2 linked regions of the Danio rerio genome follow. The protein of the gene in region 1 interacts with the protein of each later gene in a pairwise test. Links are inferred from orthologs where the notes say so. Each region holds a gene or a part of one and is shown in the gene's direction. Other genes may lie near its edges. The genes, in order: cpne2 and uba3.

Region 1 (11,773 bases):
TATTTTATTGTTGTTTATTTTTGTAATTGTGTTTATCACATTTAATAGTGATAAACACAATTACAAAAATAAACAACAATAAAGTACGTTTTATATGGCAGAAATTGCTTGCATAATGCTGAGAAATAGACATGAGAGAAACAGTGGGGTCCAAAAGTCTGAGACTACTGGTAAAAAAACTTATATTTGGCATTGAAATTATATTAAATTTGCATGTCCTAAAAATTTTATTTGGAAAAAAATTACCCTGACAGGGAAAAAAAGAAGTTTTCATGGTTTTTGTGCTTTATCCATACAGTATGCTAAATGACAATAAAACGTGATTTCATGCATATTTTGTCATTTTATTTTAAAAAAAGTTATTTAAAACATTAAAGTAGACAATTTGTTCCCAATTTATATTAAGCAGCTGTAATTACTATGTACTTGCATCAAAAAATGTATACAATGTACTTTTGTTCATAATGTATTGCAGAACACTTCTGATGCTATTGAGCTGGGATACGGGTAGGGTTAGGAACAGATTTGGTTGTATGGGTAGTTAAAGGTGTAAGGGATGAGACAACAGTGCAATTAAATTTGTAGTTACAGAAAGTACATTGTAATGAATGATTAATTTCAGTGTAATTACATATTTAGTTAAGGTCTCTAATTTAAAGTAGGACGAACTTTACTTGCAGTTAATAAGGTTTAATGTGTAAATCACATTTTTAAGTTTATTTTAATAATTTTTTTTAAGGTTTTGTAAATAAAGTAATACTGTTTTGTAATCCCCAGGGTGTAGGAGAGGAGGTACTCCCTTCTCCATGGCCTATACTCTGGGCTCGGGGCCCGATGTGGGTCCTGCATTAGGGCCCCAGCACTGCGTCACAAAAGTGGAGCTCTCAGTCTGCGGTGCTAACCTGCTGGACCGCGACGTAGCATCAAAATCAGACCCATTCTGTGTTCTTTTCCATGATGTGGACGGCAATTGGGTGGAGGTAAGGAGAAGTGATATAAAGTGTTTACCTTCACAGAGTATTGTGGATATTACAAGTTAACCTTTAACTAAACTTGATGAGTTGGAGAGAAAAGATTCACATGCAGATTAATTAAGATATAAGATTAGAGATTAAGATTTAGAAATTATATATATATATATATATATATATATATATATATATATATATATATATATATATATATATACATATTAGGGGTGTAACGATTTATCGTTGTACAATTTATTGCGATGCAAAAATGTCTCAATATGCATCGTGGCGTTATGACGATTTGATTACGACATGACGTCCGTTTTCTCTTATTAGTTGAGCTGTTTGCACGTGAGCTACGTTCCACCTGCTGTCGCACGTGAGTTCAGATTGCAGCAGCAGTAATGTTAGCAGACCAAGATGAGTGGAGTTGAAATAGAGGATAGCCCATCCTCTCAAAATCAGACGTCTGCCAACATTTCGGTTGTAGAGTCATTGCTTTAGACTCGTCCGCTTTTTGACACGCATACTGGGTCAAACATCCTAAGTTTTAAAGTCTTCACAGTGATTTACATACTTTGCACAGCGACATGGATACCTCCTAATGGTGTTGAAAGAGTCACATACTGTATTTATAAGGTACAATTCATCCTAAAATATCATTCTGTCTTCATATAATGATGTATTGGCGGCCGCAAAATCACACATGACGTGAGCTGTTACTACAGAGGGCGGACTATGATAGACGCGCGCGTATGGCAAGCCGTTTTAGCATTTAAACCTTTGATCTGACTATCCATAAATATATTTAGAGATATCTCTAATTGTATTTTGACTAGTCATAATTATAATTCGACTAGTCAAAATATAATTAGAGATATCTCTAAAGGAATTTAATTAAATATGAATTAAATATATTTATGGATAGTCAGAACAAAGGTTTAAATGCTAAAACGGCTTGCCATACGCGCGCGTCTGCTTCAGTGAACAGAACCTGCAGGTTGTGACTAATAAAGTAGTAAACAACATTCAGTTTGTGGAACAGAGTGATCGTTCAGGAGCCGCGTGGGAAGTATGAACAGCACTTAGCAGTGGAAATGAAACCGAAAACGTACACATTATTTAAACAATCATATCGCATTTTAGAGTTATGATTACGATGAGCATGAACTCTTTTGAGTACAGAGGTACACAAAAATGCACGTCAACATGATACACTTGATAGCGCCGACATCAGCGACGCAGAAGAAATAGTAAACCTGCCTAAACTGCTGAAAAGAGCCACGACTGTCCTGTGTAAGTTAATGAAAAGACGGCCACCCTGTCACTCATCATGCCCAACATGAAGACAGCCATCCCTAAAAACCTCTCAGACAGATACACATAAGTTCAGGATTATCTTATAGAACTGCTGATTACCTGAAAATGTGGATTTTTTTTGCACACACAAAAAACGCAAGTGACCAAGCAAAGCCTTAAGCTCTTACTGTTAAATTCAATTGAAAGCTTATTTTTTGCACCTTTACTTAAATTGTTCCTTCATTTTGTCTCTGTCATTTTAATAATATTTTTAAGAAGTTTTTAAATAGTTTTATTTTCCAGAGACAGGCCTGTTTAATTTATTTTCTTAAAGAAGGTTCAGTTTAACAAGTTGAAACAAAAGAAGTACATAAAAAATAGTTTACTTGGTAAAATTTGCATTTCAGTTAAATTTTAAATTTTTATTCCAAATATCGTGATACATATCGAATCGTGAACATTATATCGTGATACACATAGCATCGTGAGCTGAGTGTATCCTTACACCCCTAATATATATACATATATACATGTTTTATAATATTATTAATTATTAATACATACATAGAAAAGGAAAACTCATCTGAATTTTTATCACTGAAAACTTATCACTGAGAAGCCTCTTGGGAGCCTTAGAAAGCAACATATATCCTTTGAGACAAATGCACAAGTTGATAGTGTGGAAAACTGAAAAAGATGGCATGTAGGAAGCAAAACAGGAAGAAATCTTTTTGAACATCAAATAAAGCGAATGAACTGATGAGCAAACTAGGTTGCAGTGTCTGAGCTCTCTATGGGACTGTGCCTTTAGAGCTCAATCATCACAGGCCAGAGTCACTGGTCAGTAGGGCAGGCCAGCACACAAAATCACTCTTCTACCACACACTGTAGCCATGGAAACAGCAAGAGACAAACAAAGGAATGCGCTTGTGGTAGATAAATGCATGCTAAAATGCATTCTAGAACATGGTGTTTAAAAATTTAGAACACTGATCACGAATGAATAAATGTAAATGCAGATAAATACTAAAAAGAAGCTGTCCCAAAATTCTTTCATGTTTTAATCATCTGTATATACCAGTATTGTTATCACTGTTCATAATAAATACAATATAATATTTCATTACTGTAAAATGGAATAATATATTTAATAATATTTGAAATATGGAGCACTTTTTTACTTTATAAATATAACCTTGTATTTAACTATATAGATTTGTCCCAACTATAATTTATGCTCACTTGCTGTTATGCTTTTTTAAAATGACTGTTATTATCATTTTAGCACCTTCTTAATTTTTTTTATTACAATAAAAACTAATTATTGAGAAACCCTTTGAAATTTACAAATGATTACATATTGTAAATCACTGTAATAAAAAAAACTTATTAGAATGGCAAAAAAGACTTGAAAATATTATAAAATAGTGGAATATTTTATCTCAGTGGTTCTCAAACGTTTATCATCAAGTACCACCTCAGAAAAAAGTTGTCTTTGCAAGTACCACCAGAATGAGCAGTATTGAAATACAGTAGCGTAATAGGTCCAGTAAAGCAGCTAAAGCGTATGCATATTAGTTCCTATTATTAAGAACATTTAAATTAAAATGTGCTTATAAAATTTAAAAAAAGGCTACTGTTTTTAAAAAGTAAAAAAAAGAGAAGAAACTCCTGGTTTATCAGCACCTGGAAATGTTGTCTGGACCTCATAAATATAGGCTTTATGTCATCTTATTCATGTCAGTCCTGAGTGTGTAATTGTGTACACATAAACCCAATCATTTGCTGCATCTTGTAAAAAAGTCTAATGACTTCAAGGATAGATGTGCAATCTTTTAATAACATATCCTCTGTTTGTACTTTCATCAAACCTGGAAAATTAAGTAAGTTTAAGCCAAACATCCCAGGCATATGTTTAAAATGCCAAAAACCTAAAGGAACAGTCTTTCACTGTATCTGGGAATGTGAGGTGATTCAAATCTTCTGGAAAAAAGTGATAACATTCATTTATTCAGTAAATTAATCTTATCACTTGAGTCATTGCAAAGTATAACCATAGGAGAGTGAAACTTCATGATTTGCATGTGCTTTAAATGCATTTCAAGCGAGTTTAAAGCATTCAGGCACACAAAAAGTACATTTGTAACTTTAATTGTAAAAATATCTCAATGTCATATTTGTCATATTTTATCTTGCGACTTTACTTTATATTGCACTGGAAAGAATGAACCACAGTGTAAGGGGCAAATATAAAGGACTGCCATACAATTTGGTATCTATTTATACAGTTTCTGCAGAGAGAGAGAGAAAAAAAAATATGTGGTTTAAGTCAGAATTATTAGCCCCCCTTTGATTTTTTTTCTTCTTTAAATATTTCCCAAATGACCTTTAAGAAAGCAAAGAAGTTTTCACAGCATTCACTTGGGTGGTACTTTTTCAAAAGGTACAAATTTGTACCTAAAAGGTCCATATAAATATCTCAAGGGTACATATTAGTACCTTAAAAGTTCAAAAGGGATCTCTTTTACATTTTTTATCTACTAATATATACTTTTGAGGTATCAATATAAACCCTTTAAGTACAAATGTGTACTGTACCTTTTAAAAAAAGGTACCACCACAGGTGACAGCTCGCGTATTTATTTCTAACAGTGTAGACAGGTTAGGCTAATGAGGCAAGTTATTGTATATTGATAGTTTGTTCTGTAGATTATCGAAAAAATATTGCTTAAAGGGGCTGATAGTTTTGACCTTAAAATGGTTTTTAAAAAATTAAAAACTGCTTTTATTCTAGCCGAAATAAAACAAATAAGACTTTCTCCTGAAGAAAAAATATTATCAGACACACTGTGAAAATTTACTGAACCTGTTAAACAACATTTGGGAAATATATAGTAAATATGTATATATAGTATCAGTACAAGCAACAAATTCCTCTCACTCATCTGACTGATATGTGCATATCATGTGCTCTTTTGTATGTAAAAATAGTTTATAGTTATGTCAATCTTATATGACAACTTCTCCACCAGTTAAAAATGTTTAATAATGTATAACTTCATGTTATCTTTCTTGACCCTTTTTTAAAATTAAACAAAAAACATATTCTATTTTTTATGTCTTTTCAGCTGGCTCGAACAGAGACGGCTATTAATAACCTGAATCCAGTATTTGGGGTAAAATTTCAAGTGGATTACCACTTTGAGGAGGTCCAGAAGCTGAAATTTGCCATGTTTGATGAGGACAAATGCAGCTCTCAGCTTTATGAACACGACTTTCTGGGCGAGTTCACCTGCACATTGGGAGTGGTACAGTAGCACTTTTTAATCAATAACATTTTACTTACTGCTATGGAGTAAATAAGAAACTATTTAAAAAATGTCTTTATGGTAATGTATAAGGAAAATGTTGTTATCTAGAGCTTCAATGGGGTGTTAAAATCATTAAAAAAGTATTATGGTTTCTTTCTGAAAAGGCGGTATTGATGTTTTTGTCCAATGAAAGTTAAGAAAGCAGTATGTGGTGGAATAAACATCATTTGTTTGTTAAAAAAAAATGTAATCAGACATTATTAATGCAACAAATGTTCCCATTTTACTCAAATCCATACTTTAAAACACAAGTAAATATAGTTAAACAAAGTATTTCCAAGTGATGTCTAAAATCTCAGGTCAATCTGCTATATGCTGCTTGGCATCACCCTAATTAGATAATCTCAAGTAATTACCATAAGCTTTTATGATCATAATTATGATAAATTAGCTTTCTGTATCGCCTCTACTTGTGCATTTATTGGGCCATCTGTTCTGTATTAGATCGTGTCAAATAAGAAGCTGCATCGACCACTGATTCTGGCTAATGGCAAGCCGGCAGGGAAGGGGGCCATCACAGTAAGATCCCGCATAGCACACCAGAACTGACATATGCATTGATAGAGTTTGTACGAGAGCTTCACGATCTGCTTGGTTTGGTCTAGATAACAGCGCAGGAGTTATCAGACAACAGAATAATCACCCTAACCATGTGTGGGAGGAAGCTGGATAAAAAGGTGAGTTAAGAGCTTTTGATAGCCATTCAAGCACTTCACAAAAGCACTCGTTGAAAGAAGATAATGATTTTGTTTGTGGCTGTTTTTCAGGACTTTTTTGGTAAATCAGACCCTTATTTAGAGTTCCACAAACAAGGGGATGATGGGAAATGGATGATGGTTCACAGAACAGAGGTAAGGTATTAAATAGATACCGTGTTGGTGATATTCTCATTTATGTAGACCAGGGGTCTCAAACTCGCGGCCCGCGGGCCATTTGCGGCCCTCAGTGCAATATTTTGTGGCCCGCGCCGACCGCTGTACACTGACAGAATCAGCGGAGCGGGGAGAGAGAGCGCTTCCAGCTCCGCTGATTCTATCCGTACACAGCGGTCACTGGCATTCCCCGCCCGCCGTGTAAACAAAGGAGCGGGGATGCCGGTGACGTCACCACGCACCCCGCCTCTTTGTTAGACGCTGTGACGGGCGGGAAGAACCAAGGTAAGCTGTTCCCGCCCCTGCCTGCCACTCAGCTACATGCTGCATATATTATAGGTAGATACAGACTGGTACAGACTGATGTGACTGGAGTGGGGTGGGGGTGTTTTATTTATACATATATACGCCTTTTTTTTAGGTGAGGGAATGGAAGTTTTGAGTGAGTTCCCCCACTTTTTTCCCTAGGACTAGGTCTTTTTGGGAGCACATATTTGTGTGAGAAGTTATTCTCCACCTTGAACTTCAATAAGTCAAAGTACAGGTCTAGACTTAATAATGATCATCTTCAAGCCATACTGAGGGTCTCAACTGCTTCCACTCTAAAGCCAAATGTGGTTCAGATTTGTGAAAAGAAGCGCTGTCAAGTCTCGGGCAGTAAGGAGTAGGCAAAAGATGCCATGTTCAGAAGAACTGTTCATAATCTTCACTCAATGTTCTATTAATGTTCAGGACACTTCATGTTCAGAAGAAATAATTAAAACTGTTAATAATGGCATTTGAGGACTTTTTTTTGTGAAATCCCTTATGCGGCCCAGCCTCACCCAGACTTTGCCTCATGCGGCCCCCAGGTAAATTGAGTTTGAGACCCCTGATGTAGACTATTTATTACTGCTGTTTTATCAGATGTGAAGCTTGTATTTTAGACTAGATCCATTCTTTTAATGAAAAGAATAATAATTGCCTGTGTGTGTGTGATATTAGGTCATTAAGAACACTCTGGATCCTGTATGGAAGCCTTTCACAGTGCCTCTAATCTCACTTTGTAATGGAGATGTGGACAGAAACATCAAGGTGTGTGTGTTTCTATGAAGTTGTTGTCTTTTACTGTCCAGTTTTATAGGATGTGTGTAAAAAATCTCAGTAGAATTCATGGCAACACTTCAGTTTGGTGCACAGTTCACTGTATTGAACCATTAACAGCAGCACGAGGGCTCAGTGGTTAGCACTGTTGCCTCACAGCAAGAAGGTCGCTAATTCGAGTCCCGGCTGGGTCAGTTGGCATTTCTGTATGGAGTTTGAATGGCATGGGTTTCCTTCAGGTAGTTTGGTTTTCCTGACAGTCCAAAGACATGCACTATATGTGAGTTGGGTAAACAAAATTGGCCGTAGTGCATAAGTGTGCATGTAAATACGTGTTTATGGGTGTTTCCCAGTACTGGGTGTCAGATGGAAGGGAATCCACTGCGTAAAACATGCTGAAATAGTTGGCAGTTCATTCCACTGTGGCGATTCCTGATAAATAAGGGAGTACGTTGAAGAAAAATGATGAACAAACTATTGACTAGAACTCCTGGGTTAATAAACTTCTAGTTAGCTGTTTATTAATAGTTAGTGAGGTAGAAGTTGGGTTTCAGTTTTAAGTAGGATTGGAGATGTAGAATAAGATCATACATTATAACTAATAATGAACAGTTAATAAATTAATAATAGGCAGGTAATAAGCCAGTAGTTAATAGTATGGATTGTGACCTAAACTAAAGTGTTATTAAACACAATGAATGTGTTTTGGGGTATATTGGAGACTGTGATCCCAAAAAGAAAAACTTTTCATATTGAAATAGCTTAAAACAACTTACTGTTACGGTTTAAAGTAACATTATTGACTGTTTTTTTACATGTGTCCAATCAAAAATTCAGTTGGTTTAAAATATAGTTTAACAGATGGCCCCTTACTCACTATTTGTCCCCAATTAGCAAAATTTACATTTACAGTATACATTTGCCAGATGCTTTGGAAAGTGATTTACAGTGTATTCAAAGTATACATCTTATCAGTATGTGTGTTCCCATGGATTGAATCCATGGTTGTTTTATAATGCATTAATACAAAAGTTTCAGTGCCATATGCTGCTGTTAGTAGGGGCACAAATTAATTTAAACACATCTCATGTCATATTTGAATATTATGCATAATACATTTGTTCATTTATATTACTACATTTTTTTCTTTTTAAGAAATTTAATTAAAGAATTCAGAAACAAATCTGTTTCATGTTTTCTAAAAAACATTATATATGTATAATAATACCAAATAATGATGCTTACATTGTGCTTAGCTAAAAAAGCAAACAAATCAAAACATATATATTAGGTCCATGTTTCACTTAACTTCAATATTCAAAGACCTACTAGCAAATATCAACCTGCAGCTCAAGACTGGTTACTCACTGAAGCTAAGCAGGGCTGAGCCTGGTCAGTACCTGGATGGGAGACCACATGGGAAAACTAGGTTGCTGTTAAAAGTGGTTTAGGTTAGGCCAGCAGGCAGTTCTCAACCTGCGGTCTGTGTGTGTCCTAATGCCCTAGTAAAGTGAAGGGGCACTATACTGTCAGGAGTGCCATCTTTCGGATGAGATGTTAAACAGAGATCCTGACTCTGTGGTCATTAAAAATCCCATGGCACTTTTCTTAAAGAGTAGTAACCTTGGTGTCCTGGTCAAATTCCTTCTATCTGCCTTGTCCCAATCATCCCCATCCACCGAATTGGCTCACTGCCTCTCCACTCCATCTATAACTGGTGTGTGGTGAGCACACTGGCACCGTTGTCCTGTGTCTGTCGTTGCATCATCCAAGTGGATGCTGCACATTGGTGGTGGTGTGGAGAGACCCCCCCCCCTTATGATTGTGAAGCGCTTTGGGTGTGTGACTATACACAATAAATGTGCTATATAAATACACATTACATTACATTACATACAGTATTCGAAGACCTACTAAGCAGTTTTGATTTTTCTCTTGGTCAAGTCTGTTTATGTCCCAATGAGCCACATTGTCACAACTCACTGTAAATATATGATGTCACAGGTGCTGTGCTACGATTATGACAACGACGGAGGCCATGATTTCATCGGCGAGTTTCAGACCTCCGTGACCAAGATGAGCGAAGCAGAGAACGGAGTGGAGGTGGGCTTGTCTGCAATTAACACCATGCAGATTCATAATTTCCACAATGTAGAAACTAAACGCGTGAAGTAAAAGCTTGGCTCACATTAACGCCTGCCGCTCTTGCGCCAGAATACTATGTGAGTACTAGCTATGCCTCATTATCTGGCATAATGAAGCTGAGAATTAGTGAGTGAGAGGGAGAGACAGAGGGAGAAGGAGAAAAGAGGTGGGAGGGAGAAACAGAGAGAGTAACTGGCTCTTTTGAGATGCAAATCGCTCCTGTTTTACCGCTGCCTTGTTTACCAGAACATGCATTGTGCGTTGCCAGTCACACTTTGGCAGAACACGTTTAAATGTTCTCTTGGAGAACGACTTAGTGTACTAATAAACACCCGTTCACTCAGGTACTGGCATTCTGCTGCACAGCCTTTGCTCAGAGATATGATGTATTTCGTGTCATGTTGTAAAGTAATTGAGCTCCCGCAGTGATTGTCACCCCTCTGTGTTCGCATTTCAGATGAATGATCTCTCTAGAACTCACAGATGATGCTGATACTTGGATTTTTGTTTCAGAATAGATTATGTCTCATTTTTGTGTCTCAGCTTTGTTTGAGAGAGTCCTTAAAATAATAATACTAGATAAACTCAAATAATTATTTTTACTGCTTGTTCAATTTAACTATTTAAAATGAGCTAAAACAACACAATTCTTGAGATTTTATTGGGACAACTTATATTTTTTATGTTCAGTCTACTTAAATTTGTTAAGTTAACTTAATCGATTTGTTCTGGGACAACATGAATGAATTGTGTGAAACCCTTTATTTATTATAGTGTATAGAAAGCTGATCTATTATTTATTAAACTCACTGGCCACTTTATAAGGTACTGTCCAACTGCTCGTTAACGCAAATATAGACATGGTCAGGACAAGTTCAAACCAAGCATCAGAATGGAGAAGAAAGGTGATTTAAGTGACTTTGAATGTGGCACGGTTGTTAGTGTCTGACGGGCTGCTCTGAGTATTTCATAAAGTACTGATCTACTGGGATTTTCACACACAACCAACTCTAGGGTTTACAGAGAATGGTCTGAAAAAAAAAATCCAGTGAGTGGCAGTTCTGCGGGTGCAAATGCTTTTTTGATACCAGAGGTCAGAAGAAAAGGCCAGACTGGTTTGAGCTGATAGAAAGGCAACAGTAACTCAAATAACCACTCGTTACAACTGAGGTATGCAGAAGAGCATCTTTGAGTGCACAACACATCCAACCTTGAGGCAGATGGGCTACAGCAGCAGAAGACGACATCGGGTGCCACTCCTGTCAGCTGAAAACAGGATACTGAGGCTACAATTCACAATTACAGACTCACCAAAATTGAACAATAGAAGATTGGAAAAACGTTGCCTGGTCTGATGAGTCTCGATTTCTACTACGACATTCGGATGGTAGGGTCACCAGATCTCAACCCAATAGAGCACCTTTGGGACGAGGTGGAACGGGAGATTTGCATCATGGATGTGCAGCCGACAAATCTGCAGCAACTGCGTGATGCTATCATGTCAATATGGACCAAAATCTCTGAGGAATATTTCTAGTACCTTGTTAAATCTATGCCACAAAGGATTAGGGCAATTCTGAATTCTGTACCTAATAAAGTGGCCAATCAGTGTATATTAACATGTATTATTTGTTTTAATTCTTCACCAAAATGAGTTTTTTATGGCTAATATTTACTATTTTATGCAAACATTCCAAATTACTGGAATAAATTTGTGTTTAATACCAGCAAGATGATGTATTGTTCTGTGTTGGATAAATGTTAATTGCCCCTCCATTGGACTTTGGTTAAGAAACCTTATAACATGTTTGGCTCTTAAAAAACTCACACACATAATAAGGAATTAATCTGCTTAATTTTGCAATATCTGAAGAAGCTTTTGAAGTCTGAAGTTGTGGAATGTGAAATGTGTTTGATTGGATTTTCTTTTTTTATGATTATTATTATTACATTTAAATTTTTTCCTTAAAACTGTCTGGGGTAAGTTTTGGATATTGGGGTTTGAATTACTGTAAAACTTAAAGATATGTTA
Region 2 (11,773 bases), on another chromosome or scaffold:
ATCCTCATTCATTCAGCTTGGGAAGTTTACATCAGGTGTATTTTTCATGTCCTTGAATGAAGAGAAGTCTTACAAAGGAACATGTTGTTTTTTTTGTTTTGTTGTAAATAAATTGACTGATGCTAAATGGTCACTGCACAATTTAAACCCTTAAAAAAAAGGACAGACGGTTGTCATTACCAGTACAGCATTAATATATTCCTATTTGCTCTCCCAAACCTTTATGAGTTTATTTTTTCTTTTGACTGCTAAAGAAGCTATTTTGAAGAATGTGAAAAACCGTAACCATTGACTTCCATAGCAGGAAAAACCAATAACATTGAAGTCGACAGTTTTTCAGATAGTATTTTGAAAGGTTTCCCGCTTTCTTAAAAAAAAAAAGTGTGTGTATATATATATATATATATATATATATATATATATATATATATATATATATTAGGGATGTAACGGTATCAGAATTTCACGGTACGGTAATACCTCGGTATGAATGTCACGGTACGGTATTTATTGAATCATTTACAGGAAAAAAAAAAACTTTTGAAAATACTCCAAAAAAGTGCCAAAAGTGTCAATGACATACAAATTAGCCATCTATCTGTAAGCTTTGAAACAGGAACTTCAATTTTAATAACAAAAAATTATTAAACCATGTAAAAAAAATAAAGTTTCAATTTAGTATTGTTAAAAACTCATCACATTTAACATTTAATCACTCACTTAGATAGAGATGGGTTTAAAGGAAAATTATCATATAACTATAATCTGGTAAAAGCTGGTATCTCTGGGTATTTACAATGTCCCCTGCAACAGAAAAAAACCCCTCTCATTTGGGACTGAGGATTCTGGGACAAGAGAGATATGACTTGGCCCATGTTGACAGCAGTGGGGTAACGTTGTGCATTGTCTTTCCCCCACTTGAGAGGACAAACCATGAGTGAGATAGAGATCTCTTTGCGGTACAAGTCAATGTCTGCATCAATCTGAACAGTGTGCTGTGTTTCTGCAGTCCCCATGACTGTTATTAGTCGTATTCCCCAACTTGCAGGCACGTGCACACATAGGGCTCAACCTGTGCAGTGCACATGCCCTTTTTAGTCTTGGATAGAAAATGCCCTTCCAAAACGATCAAAAGTGCCCCCGCGACGCGACACAACCTCCGTCCAGTCCAGCCCTTCAGTAGGCGCGCGATAACACCTCTCTTGAGTATGCGCGCTCAACCCCCCCTCGGCGCTTTACAATACGCGCGCCACAACACAGCTGATCAGAACGCGCGCGACAGCACCGCTATTCAGCACGCGCGCGGCGACAACACCCGCTTTAGGTTCGATCATTTCCATCTTTTTTTCATCTCCGCTACTAGCAGCACACTCCATTTCCGCATTACTGGATCTGTAGCGACAACAGACCGCAAAGGATTATGGCCACGCCGGGGCTGATGGGAAATGAAGTTTCAGCTACCTCCCGTTCGCTTCATTCGCCTGAGCAAATTTTCTCAGAAGACCTATAGTTTTACCGAGTCATGCGACTTCGGTAATATCGAAAAAATTTAATATTGCGGTATGACGGTATTTACAATACCGTTACATCCCTAATATATATATTTATTTATGTTGAACAAATAAAAGAAAGGTTTGGGCCAGTAAAGGGTGAGTAAATGATGACAACTTTTAGTTTTGGGTGAACAATTATTTTAATAGAGATTCACCTAAACAAAGATTGAAAGAAATCTTCAGATTTAATATTTTTAATAGTATTTTTGTTTTAGAACACAAATTGATATATTTTAAATGAAATCTGAGAGCTCTTTTATCCTCTATAGTCAGTCACAAAATGTCCAAAAAATGAATCAAAAGCATTGTTAAAATATTTCATTTGTCTTCAGTGGTTGAATTATAATCATAAAAAGCTCCATAATGCAAAAAAAAAAAAGTAAAAACCTTCAGTTATTTCTCTGAAATACACAAATGTTGCTACAGCATTTTAGAATTTTTACAGCATTTATTTATATTAACTTATTATTTACAGATAAAATGTAAAATTCAAAGTTAAGCTTGTTAACATTCCTTAATGAACTGTGAGTTAACGAGAAAATTTGTATTTTTATTTTTCCGAAAAACTCAGAACGCTCGCAATAAAAAAAAACAAACAAACAGGGAAGCGCGAACAAGTGGGATGATGACATCTGCTGCTTCAGAAGCATCAATAGACTAATATAAAAAAAAAACTTTAAAAAAACAGCAGGTCGGTAATATGGGAATATTTTGGTTTTAAAGTCACATACACCTAACTACATCAGGTCATTTGTAAAAGAGCTGTCACAGAACTGTTGCCACAGCATGAAGAAATACAACATTCAGCACCTAAAAAAGCCCAACAGGCGCCTATATGAGGAGTGTTTTGCTAAAAAGTTAACTAATTATATTGCCAGTGACACTCAATCTAGTTACTAGAAAATTTCAATTTTAGAGTTGTTTGCTAATGTAAGGTGATATCTTTTCAGTTCCACTCGCTGCATTTTAGCAGATAGAAGCTACAATACAGATTGTTGAGCTGAAGCTTGACTACAAAATTAAATCGCAAATCAAATCGAAATCACAATATCTGTTCAAAAAAACGCAATTAGATATTTTCCCCAAATCGCACAGCCCTATTATAGGTTCATAATAACTGCCTTATCAATGCAGTGTATGTTTTGCATTCGCAAGATATGTTTTCACAGTGGTTAAATTACTATTATGATATTATGGTGGAGAATAAAATGCATAAATTACATTCTTCAGATGAATGATTTCATATAAAGCACAACTAACATTAAAATAAGACAAAAAATCTAAAAGATATTTCATAGTTTGAGAACAATGTCATTATCACAATATCAGTCCATTTGTGGTAATCTTAATATTGCTCTGCTCTCTTTCTCTCCTTTTTCTTTATAAATTGCGCACATCATCTTCCAGTCTCTCCAGTTTTTATTGGACACATGCAAGATTCTGGTTATTGGAGCCGGTGGACTTGGATGTGAGCTGCTCAAAGATCTGGTAATGTTGTTTCCTGTTTGATCTTGTGCTGGAATAACAATGCAATATATTTGACACAATCGATCCTCAAAGAGGCTAAATGTGTTTTTTTTTTTTTATATCGCTACAATGTCATCAATCAGGCTTTGTCAGGTTTTCGACATATTCATGTAGTGGACATGGACACCATTGACGTTTCTAACCTCAACAGACAGTTCCTCTTCAGGTTAGTCTGCGGACAGCTGTCTTTTTGAACCCTTTGTCGTTCTGATTTTAATCATCTAAACAGCCTGCTCTTGTTTCTCTAGGCCAAAAGATGTGGGCCGACCAAAGGCAGAGGTTGCAGCAGACTTCGTAAACGACAGGGTCCCAGGATGCAGTGTTGTCCCGTATCCTTTAAAGTGTATTAACTTAGTTTTGTCTTTTGTTTCAAAATTTAATTTTGATTTTGTTTGTGGGAAGTTTGAAATGCCACTGTACTTTTTTTCTGTGTTCAAAAAGTTAGAGGGCAGTAAGATGATTATATTTTATTTGCAAGAAACTTCCAATATTTTTTGCAATAAAGGATGCATTTAATAATCAATAAATCTATTAAATATGTGTATAATTTTACAAACAGTTTCTTTTATTAAAGGTATGCTTTTTTCTGGGATTTCTATTCATCCTAAAATAATAATAATAAAACATAAAAAATACAGTGCTGGGCAAAGATTAATCACATTAAAAATAAAACACATTAAAAATATTGTTTAGGCGTAATATATGTCAGTGTATTATATATATTTATTATGTATATACAGGGCTTTACATTAACACCTGCCAACCCGCCAAATGCGGGTAGATTTCGGTTGTGGTGAGTTAGACAGCCACTCTCACCAGCCACTTTGGCTGGCTGAAACTCCTTTTTAAATTGCCAGTGCTGGCTCGTCGTCACTAGGTTAGACTGTTAGTTTATGACCGTTTGTCTATATGCGTACAAATGTGATCTTAGAATCCAGAAGCAGCACGACTGACAAAAACAGTTTTTCGCGCGAGCAAAGGAAAGCAGATAAATAACGAATTAGAGGATCACGTACACAGTGAGACAGGCTTTCCTCACTCACTGACGAGGGCTCGTGTCGCGCGCACAGATGATTTGATTTGATGTTTCTTTTGCTTGCTGTTATTTTTGTTAATATAGTTTAATAATCATCCTTTACAATAATATTGCTTAAATATGTTGTTGTATGCACAGTTAACTGGTGATCTGGGATTTTGAGCCAGAACAGACCACTGTGCATAGTTTTAAATGCGTGAGTGTATATATATAAATATATATATATATATATATATATATATATATATATATATATATATATATATATATATATATATATATATATATATATATATATATATATATATATTTCGCGTGGGTTTCTTCCGTGTGCTCCGGTTTCCCCCACAGTCCAAAGACATGCGGTACAGGTGAATTGGGTAGGCTAAATTGTCCGTAATGTATGAGTGTGTGTGTGGATGTTTCCCAGAGATGGGTTGCGGCTGGAAGGGCATCTGCTGCGTAAAAAAAACTTGCTGGATAAGTTGGCGGTTCATTCAGCTGTGGTGACCCTGGATTAATAAAGGGATTAAGCTGACAAGAAAATGAATGAATGAATGAATGAATGTAAATAAATATATATATTTTAAATGTCAGCTGTTTTGTTAAACAAAAAGTGTATGGATCCAGCAGTATTTTGCTTGTTTTGACACATTATTTAAAATTTGTGGCAAGGAAATAATTAGTTTGGAGTGGCCAGTCGAAAAAAAAGGCAAACCATTATTGTGTTGAGCCCTGAAAAGTCCTGTGAAAGAAAACTAATTGCAATGCGCAACTTTTTATGAAAGTAATAACCCATAATCCATAATAACTAAATAACCCATTTGCTAATGCTCATTGAGTAAGCTCATAAACAAAAAAACAGTTAAATGAACAAGAAGTAATTTTAGCATGCCGCAACCCATGCCAAAGTCAAATTTATGCATATAAAATATATTTTCCCATCAGCAAAATTGAAATTGTGGCTAGTGAAAATGGCGAGTGGCTAGTAACGGTGGAAAACTACTAGCCACAATGGCTGGTGATCAAAAAAAGTTAAAGTCAAGCCCTGTGTATATATGATATACACATACATAAAATCAAAACAATACAAACATTTTTTTTTTATTACATATTTAAATTTATATATAATTTGTGCTATATACACTACCGGTCGAAAGTTTGGGGTCAGTACATTTTTTAAATGTTTTAAAATAAGCCTATCTTGCTCACCAATGATTCATTTATTTAATCAGAAATACAATACAAATTGTAAAATGTTATTGCACTACTGTTCAAAAGTAGTTTATCATTTAATCATTTATTCCAGTGATTTTAAAGATAAGATTTCAGCTTCATTACTCTAGTCTTCAGTCACATAATCCTTCAGAAATCACTCTAAGATTAATTAATTAATGTTGTTGTTGTTATTATTATTATTATTAATGGTAATTGTAATAAAAAAATAATGAATGAAATAATAATTTCATTTGAAACTACATACAATAAGAAAGCAGTTATTTAAAATGTTAATAAATGTTTAACAATTTAACTTTTTTTATTTACATTAAATAAATGCCGCCTTGATGAACATAATCATTTTCTTAAAAAAATTAAAAACATGAAAAAAAAAAAAAAAAAAAAAAAAATATATATATATATATATATATATATATATATATATATATATATATATATATATATATATATATATATATATATATATATATATATATATATATATATTGACCGGTAGTTAACATATAAAATTTATATCTAAATATAAATATTTTATCAAATATATCCATGCATGCATGCATGTGCGTATTACATATACATAATAAATAAATATTTACAATACACACAAATATTATGTCAAAACAGTACCGTTATTTTAAATTAGTTAATGTTTGATCAACACTAATAAAATATAATTCACTCTTTTCAACTGATATTAACAAGCATCTTAAGTAACAAGCAGCATATATACAATATAAAAGATGTAACACAAATGTAAAACTGAAGCGTGTAGTAATGATGCTAATTAATCTGCTTTTTCAATAGTGTGAAAGTATGCTTTTTTTTAATTCTAAAATATTTAGTATAAATTGGAATAATACTTGGCAATAATACTGATTTACGCTATTGTTCATCAAATAAATGCAACAGAAGTGAAATTTAAAAAATCTTACTGAGCCCAAACTTCTGAACTTGTAGTTTTTATACTGATTTATACTGTTGTATTTATACTGTTTTACACAGATTTGTACTGTCAAAATATTGTCATTTCCCTTAATACATAATGCAGACATTTTAAGAAAATCCAGGACTTGGATGAGACATTTTACAGGCGTAATCTAACTGTTACACATTTTGTTTTCATTATTTTTGTGTACAGAAATAATGTCCTAAAATCATAAATATATGATACTATTGTTCTGTTATTGTTATTAATAGTATGATGCTTTTTAGGCAGTATTATATTCTTAAATCTTTGTAATTTAACTGTTTTTGCATAGAATTCCACATAGTCGTCTGTGGCCTGGACTCTGTTATCGCCAGAAGATGGATGAACGGCATGCTTGTATGTCTCATAAACATCCAAGAATCTATTAATAGATATGTTTAGATCTAAAATCCATTCATTCATTAATTAAGTAGAGTGTTTCTATTCATTGAGAAGTACATATAGTCTATGCATTTACCTTTGTCAGCTCTCCCTGCTGATTTATGAAGATGGAGTCCTGGACCCCAGCTCTATTATTCCACTAATAGATGGTGGCACAGAGGGCTTCAAGGGCAATGCCCGGGTCATTCTTCCAGGAATGACAGCCTGCATTGATTGCACTCTGGAGCTCTACCCCCCACAGGTGCATTTTGGGATTTTTTGTGTTAAGTTGAAGTTTCAAAGCTTTTTTGTCATGCTCATTTCTGCGCCCTACACAGATCAACTTCCCGATGTGCACTATAGCGTCTATGCCACGGTTACCCGAACATTGTGTTGAATATGTACGCATGCTGCTGTGGCCCAAAGAAAAGCCCTTTGGAGGTACAATATGAGCTGATTGATTGGAATTTTTGGTTGTATTGCTAGCAGGTAATCTACTGTATTTCAGATATGGCTTTTTTGTTCTTCAGATGGTGTGGTTCTAGATGGAGATGACCCAAAGCACATCCAGTGGGTGTATCAGAAATCTTTGGAGAGAGCGGCTGAGTTCAACATCACTGGGGTCACTTACAGACTCACCCAGGGTGAGTGAGATGCCCTGTTCAATGGATCTTCATCAGGGATTTTTAAAAGCATCTCTTTTATTGACTTTAGGGCTGTAATTGTGCACATATTCATAATGAACGATTTTGATACAGGTCTTAGGGGCTGATCACAATGAACATGTTTTTCCGTGCTAAAACACGAGGCGCACCATATTTTCTTCTTTGTTGACGAGAAAAAAGAAGCGCTTTTTGCTAGGCAACAACTGAATCAGCTGTGTATTGTGCGAGAGTGTTGCTGTGATATTGGTATCATTTTAATATTAAATAATACATTTTATTTGTATATATAATATTTGTTAAGTCATACAGCTCCGGATAACTCAAAACAGCAACAGCTAGTCTTTCCTCTTTCTCCAAAAGTTTCCGTAGTCATCTTGACAACACAAACACTGCTGTCACCTCAACAGAAACCCTGCCTCTGCTTTTATTTAATTGTAGAATGAAAAAGACGCGAGTGATGTAGCACACTTTTTTTCCCTCGGAGTTGACTTTTTCAACTGCAAGTGCACAGCACCTAACGGCAAAAATGCAAGGCGCACAGGGCGCATTAGCAGTGTGCAAAACGCTCATGACCGTTAATAAACTATTCTAAAGATTCAACCCTCAGCGCAAAAAATGCATTCTGTGTGATTGGCCACTATAATTCACATAGACATTATACATAAAGTTAAAATATAACTAGTGGGTGGAGGACACTTTAGTTCATTTATCAGGGTTTTCGAGGGACATTTAGGTCCTATCACAGTTCTATTTTTGTACCCCTTCCCCTTGGCCTTTAAAACCGAGTGTGAAGGGGAAGGCGAAAAGTTAGCCCTAAGAATTGGGACAACGCTACAGCACCTGTACACGTCATCATATCTCTTGCTTCTTATGAGATCGATGATCGTGACTGCTGTAGTTATTCCAGTTGCTGTAGTTTTTGGTATTTATCTTCAGGAGATCACTGAAGGCTTATATTATAATATCAAAACTATCTAATGTGGCAATAAGATCGTAACTGTACTGCGCATTTACACTGTGGCCATATTCGTCAATATAAACACACAAAAAACAATAACATTATAGCAGACACCGTAAAAAGCTCATGCGCAACCAATAGACTCTTCTGAAATGGTATTCGTGTATCATCGAGTGTCAGAATGTTGTGGGATTGCTATACAGGAGGTATGATTATGGATTATATATAGTGAAATTTAGCTGGTTTTATATTAGTATTTTTTTAAAGCATGACGGTAAAACATGAACGCGGTTATGAATATATTAAAAGATGTGCTTGTTTGTTGTAAAAATTCATAATAATGAAAAAATAATAATAATTTGCGTATCTCCTTACGTCCGGGTCTAGCTATCCTGCCCTTGTGGCTGGTGTATTCTGGGAAATTTTCTTACCCCTTGGTTTCGAGTGTGGTCCTGAAAAATCTCCATTCGAAGGGCTATCTACCCCTTAGCCCTACACCTTCAAGCTAAAGAAAATTAGGACACCCCTACCCCTTAATTTAAGGCCTAAATGGCCTAATAAATTATGTTTAATAAACTGTATTTGAAGAGTTCAGATGCAAAATCCCCCAGATGCCATCTGACATTTTCTTTTAAAATGAGAATTTTTTTCAAAAAATGATATTAAAATCATTTGAATTGAATTGAATGAATTGTTGAAATAATTCACTTTAAGTGCAATAAAAACATATTTATAAATGTAAAAGTTAAATAACTGGTCACACAACATATAAACAGGGCCTTAATTTCCAAAGTATTTTGAATGTAGAATCCATGATCAAACAAAAAGTGTTTCAGTGGTAATCAGTATATTGCTGTTTATTGGATAAGGGATTCATAAAGATATTAAAAAATATATCAAAGGCACTCAAAATTATTATTTTTTAAAAAACAACATGACTCGTTCACCTACCCATTTCGGCAAACTTGCCTTTATCAGGATGACAATATTCAGGTCGGTCTAGAGTTCATTTGAATTTTCAGTATGTCACATGACACAATTATATTACTACACAGTACAGAAAATAAAATAACTAAACAATAATGTCAACTCAGCAGTTATTCACAGTACAGTAATGAGAGAGAGAAAAAACAGAATAATTATTACAACATAAACTATACAGCATAATTCTCAAAATTTAGACATACAATACAAGACATATATTGAATACAGCTTCAATAATAATTTATTTTAATTTGCTTTTGCAAAATATGATCAAAACACAGAACCAGCTTTGATTATTTCTTTGAGACTGTTTATGTCTGAGAATAACATTTGCCTTTTTTTGTTTATCAATTTTTCTTTCTTGTCTCTTTGAGACAAGGCTGGGGGCTTGGGGGCTGACCCTTTTTTTTAGTTATTTCATTTCAATATGGATTCTTAAATGATTAGTCCAGGATCAGTCTTTCAGTTTGTGTTATTTCAGTTAAGTCAGGTCTACCACAGAATGGGCGTGGAGCTTCGCGATCAGAGGTAGGAGTGGGCGTGGCTAGCAGAGCAGGGTAAAAGTAGGGGAGCGAACAACTGTTGTCAGTTAGCTCACAAAATGAGACACAAACCGTGAGAAGATGCATGATTTTATAGTTTACAAAGTTAAAATGCAAAGAAATAAACAGTAATTTTATGCCCTGCTACATTTGTAATTTCATATACATAACCACAATTTATACCATTATGAAGATAATCGTGTTCATTTAAACACTATGAGGACTTCTCCCTCAATCTCTGGGTCTGTATGCAGACTCTCTTGCCCTGCCTATTTCAGCCATTAGCCCTGCTGGTAATCTGAAGGATTTAGGTGAACACAGCAGCATGGCGATGTGTCTAAATGTGAACGAACTCCACTGATAAAGGACAATGTTCGCCATTCTCCGCCATACTCGTACTGCTCTCCCGACAAAAATGCTTGCTGCACACAAACAGCTTTGCTGTATCGGCCCTGACAGCCCTGTATTTGATCCCGCCCCAAAAATAATTTTAAACCCGGAAGATGAAATTAGCTGATAATAGCTCAAAATTGTCCAGTTTTTACCACAATTAAAGCTGACAGGTGCTAACATTGTCCTAACTGATGCTCAACACACAAATCTGTTAAAATCTCAAAAAAGTACTCTGGTTTCTTGAACCTTTAATGCTCAAAGAACTTTACTAGATATTATACAGTACACCTCCCAACCAATAATCACAAGCTAGACAAGAAGTGTTTCTGTTAATTTTGATAAGAAATGAGGTCTTTCCAATTCTGTCCACTTTATCAAACAATAAATGCTATTTGGTTTGGCAATATAATGTTCAGGTTCAGTCTTTTTCCAAAAAGTCTAAATCAAGTTCACACAATTGTACTTGTTGATGTAAAATCACATCCTGTTTTTCAGGGGTTGTGAAGCGAATAATTCCTGCTGTGGCTTCTACAAATGCTGTCATTGCTGGTATTCTGACATTACAAATAATCTCTGGTTTTATTGTGCATTTTTTCAGTAAGTTGAGCGATAACTGTAAATACTATTTGCTTTTTTTCCTGCATGTTTCAGCTGCTTGCGCCACAGAGGTTTTCAAAATTGCCACAAGGTAAGTTATAATATAGTTCTTTAAAAAGAGCTTTGAATTCAGCATTTATTGACATATTTATTCTGTTCCCGAACAGCGCTTATGTTCCCTTGAACAACTACCTGGTGTTTAATGATGTCGACGGGCTGTACACATACACCTTTGAAGCAGAAAGAAAGGTTAGTAACTTGAACAGCATATGCTAAATGCTATAAATGTTTGAATGTGGATACAGCTGAAATGTTGTCCATGTTGTATTTGAAGGAGAACTGTTCTGCGTGCAGTCAGGTGCCACAGGACATGCAGTTCACACCGTCAGCTAAACTACAGGAGGTTCTGGACTACCTGACTGAGAACGCCTCTCTGTGAGACACTCACTGAATTAAATGCTTTACAGTTATTTGCATTGAAATCTCTTATTTCTTTATCATTGTCCTACAATATGTGTACCAATGCATAAAGCGTATAAAATAGTAATACTGTAAAACTGTGAACTTAAAATATTTGTAATATACTATATTATACCATATTTTTAATAAACTAAAGTATATAATATTAATCCACTTTAATATATTATATATTAACAGATAAATACACTGAAAATCTGAATTAAAAAATAGTAATTGTATAAGTCTTAGACCTACAAATAAGCTATCACATTTAAAAAAAATAATTATGTCATGTTATAATTAATTATATTAAAATATTACTATGTAATTAATATATTTTCTCTGTTAATTAAATTAATATAATTGATATTACACTATTGCTTACTCATTCAAACTCTTGACAAATTTTTTTCATATTTTTTTATGCTTATAAAGTAAATTAAAATAATAACAAATTATAGCTGGTGTGTTT

The links.
Region 2: the proteins of cpne2 (region 1) and uba3 interact in binary tests that used the Homo sapiens proteins (3 or more experiments, as listed by UniProt). The two-hybrid records come from large-scale screens. The link is inferred for Danio rerio from reciprocal best matches to the Homo sapiens genes CPNE2 and UBA3.

The regions. Positions count from the first base shown.
Region 1 is NC_133193.1:19,051,516-19,063,288, forward strand, and holds part of cpne2 (copine-2), read left to right. Parts: intron 1-777; coding exon 778-980; intron 981-5,398; coding exon 5,399-5,578; intron 5,579-6,085; coding exon 6,086-6,160; intron 6,161-6,246; coding exon 6,247-6,318; intron 6,319-6,408; coding exon 6,409-6,492; intron 6,493-7,497; coding exon 7,498-7,587; intron 7,588-9,600; coding exon 9,601-9,699; intron 9,700-11,773.
Region 2 is NC_133186.1:19,922,906-19,934,678, reverse strand, and holds part of uba3 (NEDD8-activating enzyme E1 catalytic subunit), read left to right. Parts: intron 1-2,960; coding exon 2,961-3,041; intron 3,042-3,163; coding exon 3,164-3,246; intron 3,247-3,328; coding exon 3,329-3,409; intron 3,410-6,403; coding exon 6,404-6,447; intron 6,448-6,614; coding exon 6,615-6,679; intron 6,680-6,809; coding exon 6,810-6,965; intron 6,966-7,041; coding exon 7,042-7,144; intron 7,145-7,233; coding exon 7,234-7,347; intron 7,348-10,740; coding exon 10,741-10,794; intron 10,795-10,896; coding exon 10,897-10,933; intron 10,934-11,009; coding exon 11,010-11,091; intron 11,092-11,176; coding exon 11,177-11,277; intron 11,278-11,773. UniProt on the Homo sapiens protein: Catalytic subunit of the dimeric UBA3-NAE1 E1 enzyme. E1 activates NEDD8 by first adenylating its C-terminal glycine residue with ATP, thereafter linking this residue to the side chain of the catalytic cysteine, yielding a NEDD8-UBA3 thioester and free AMP.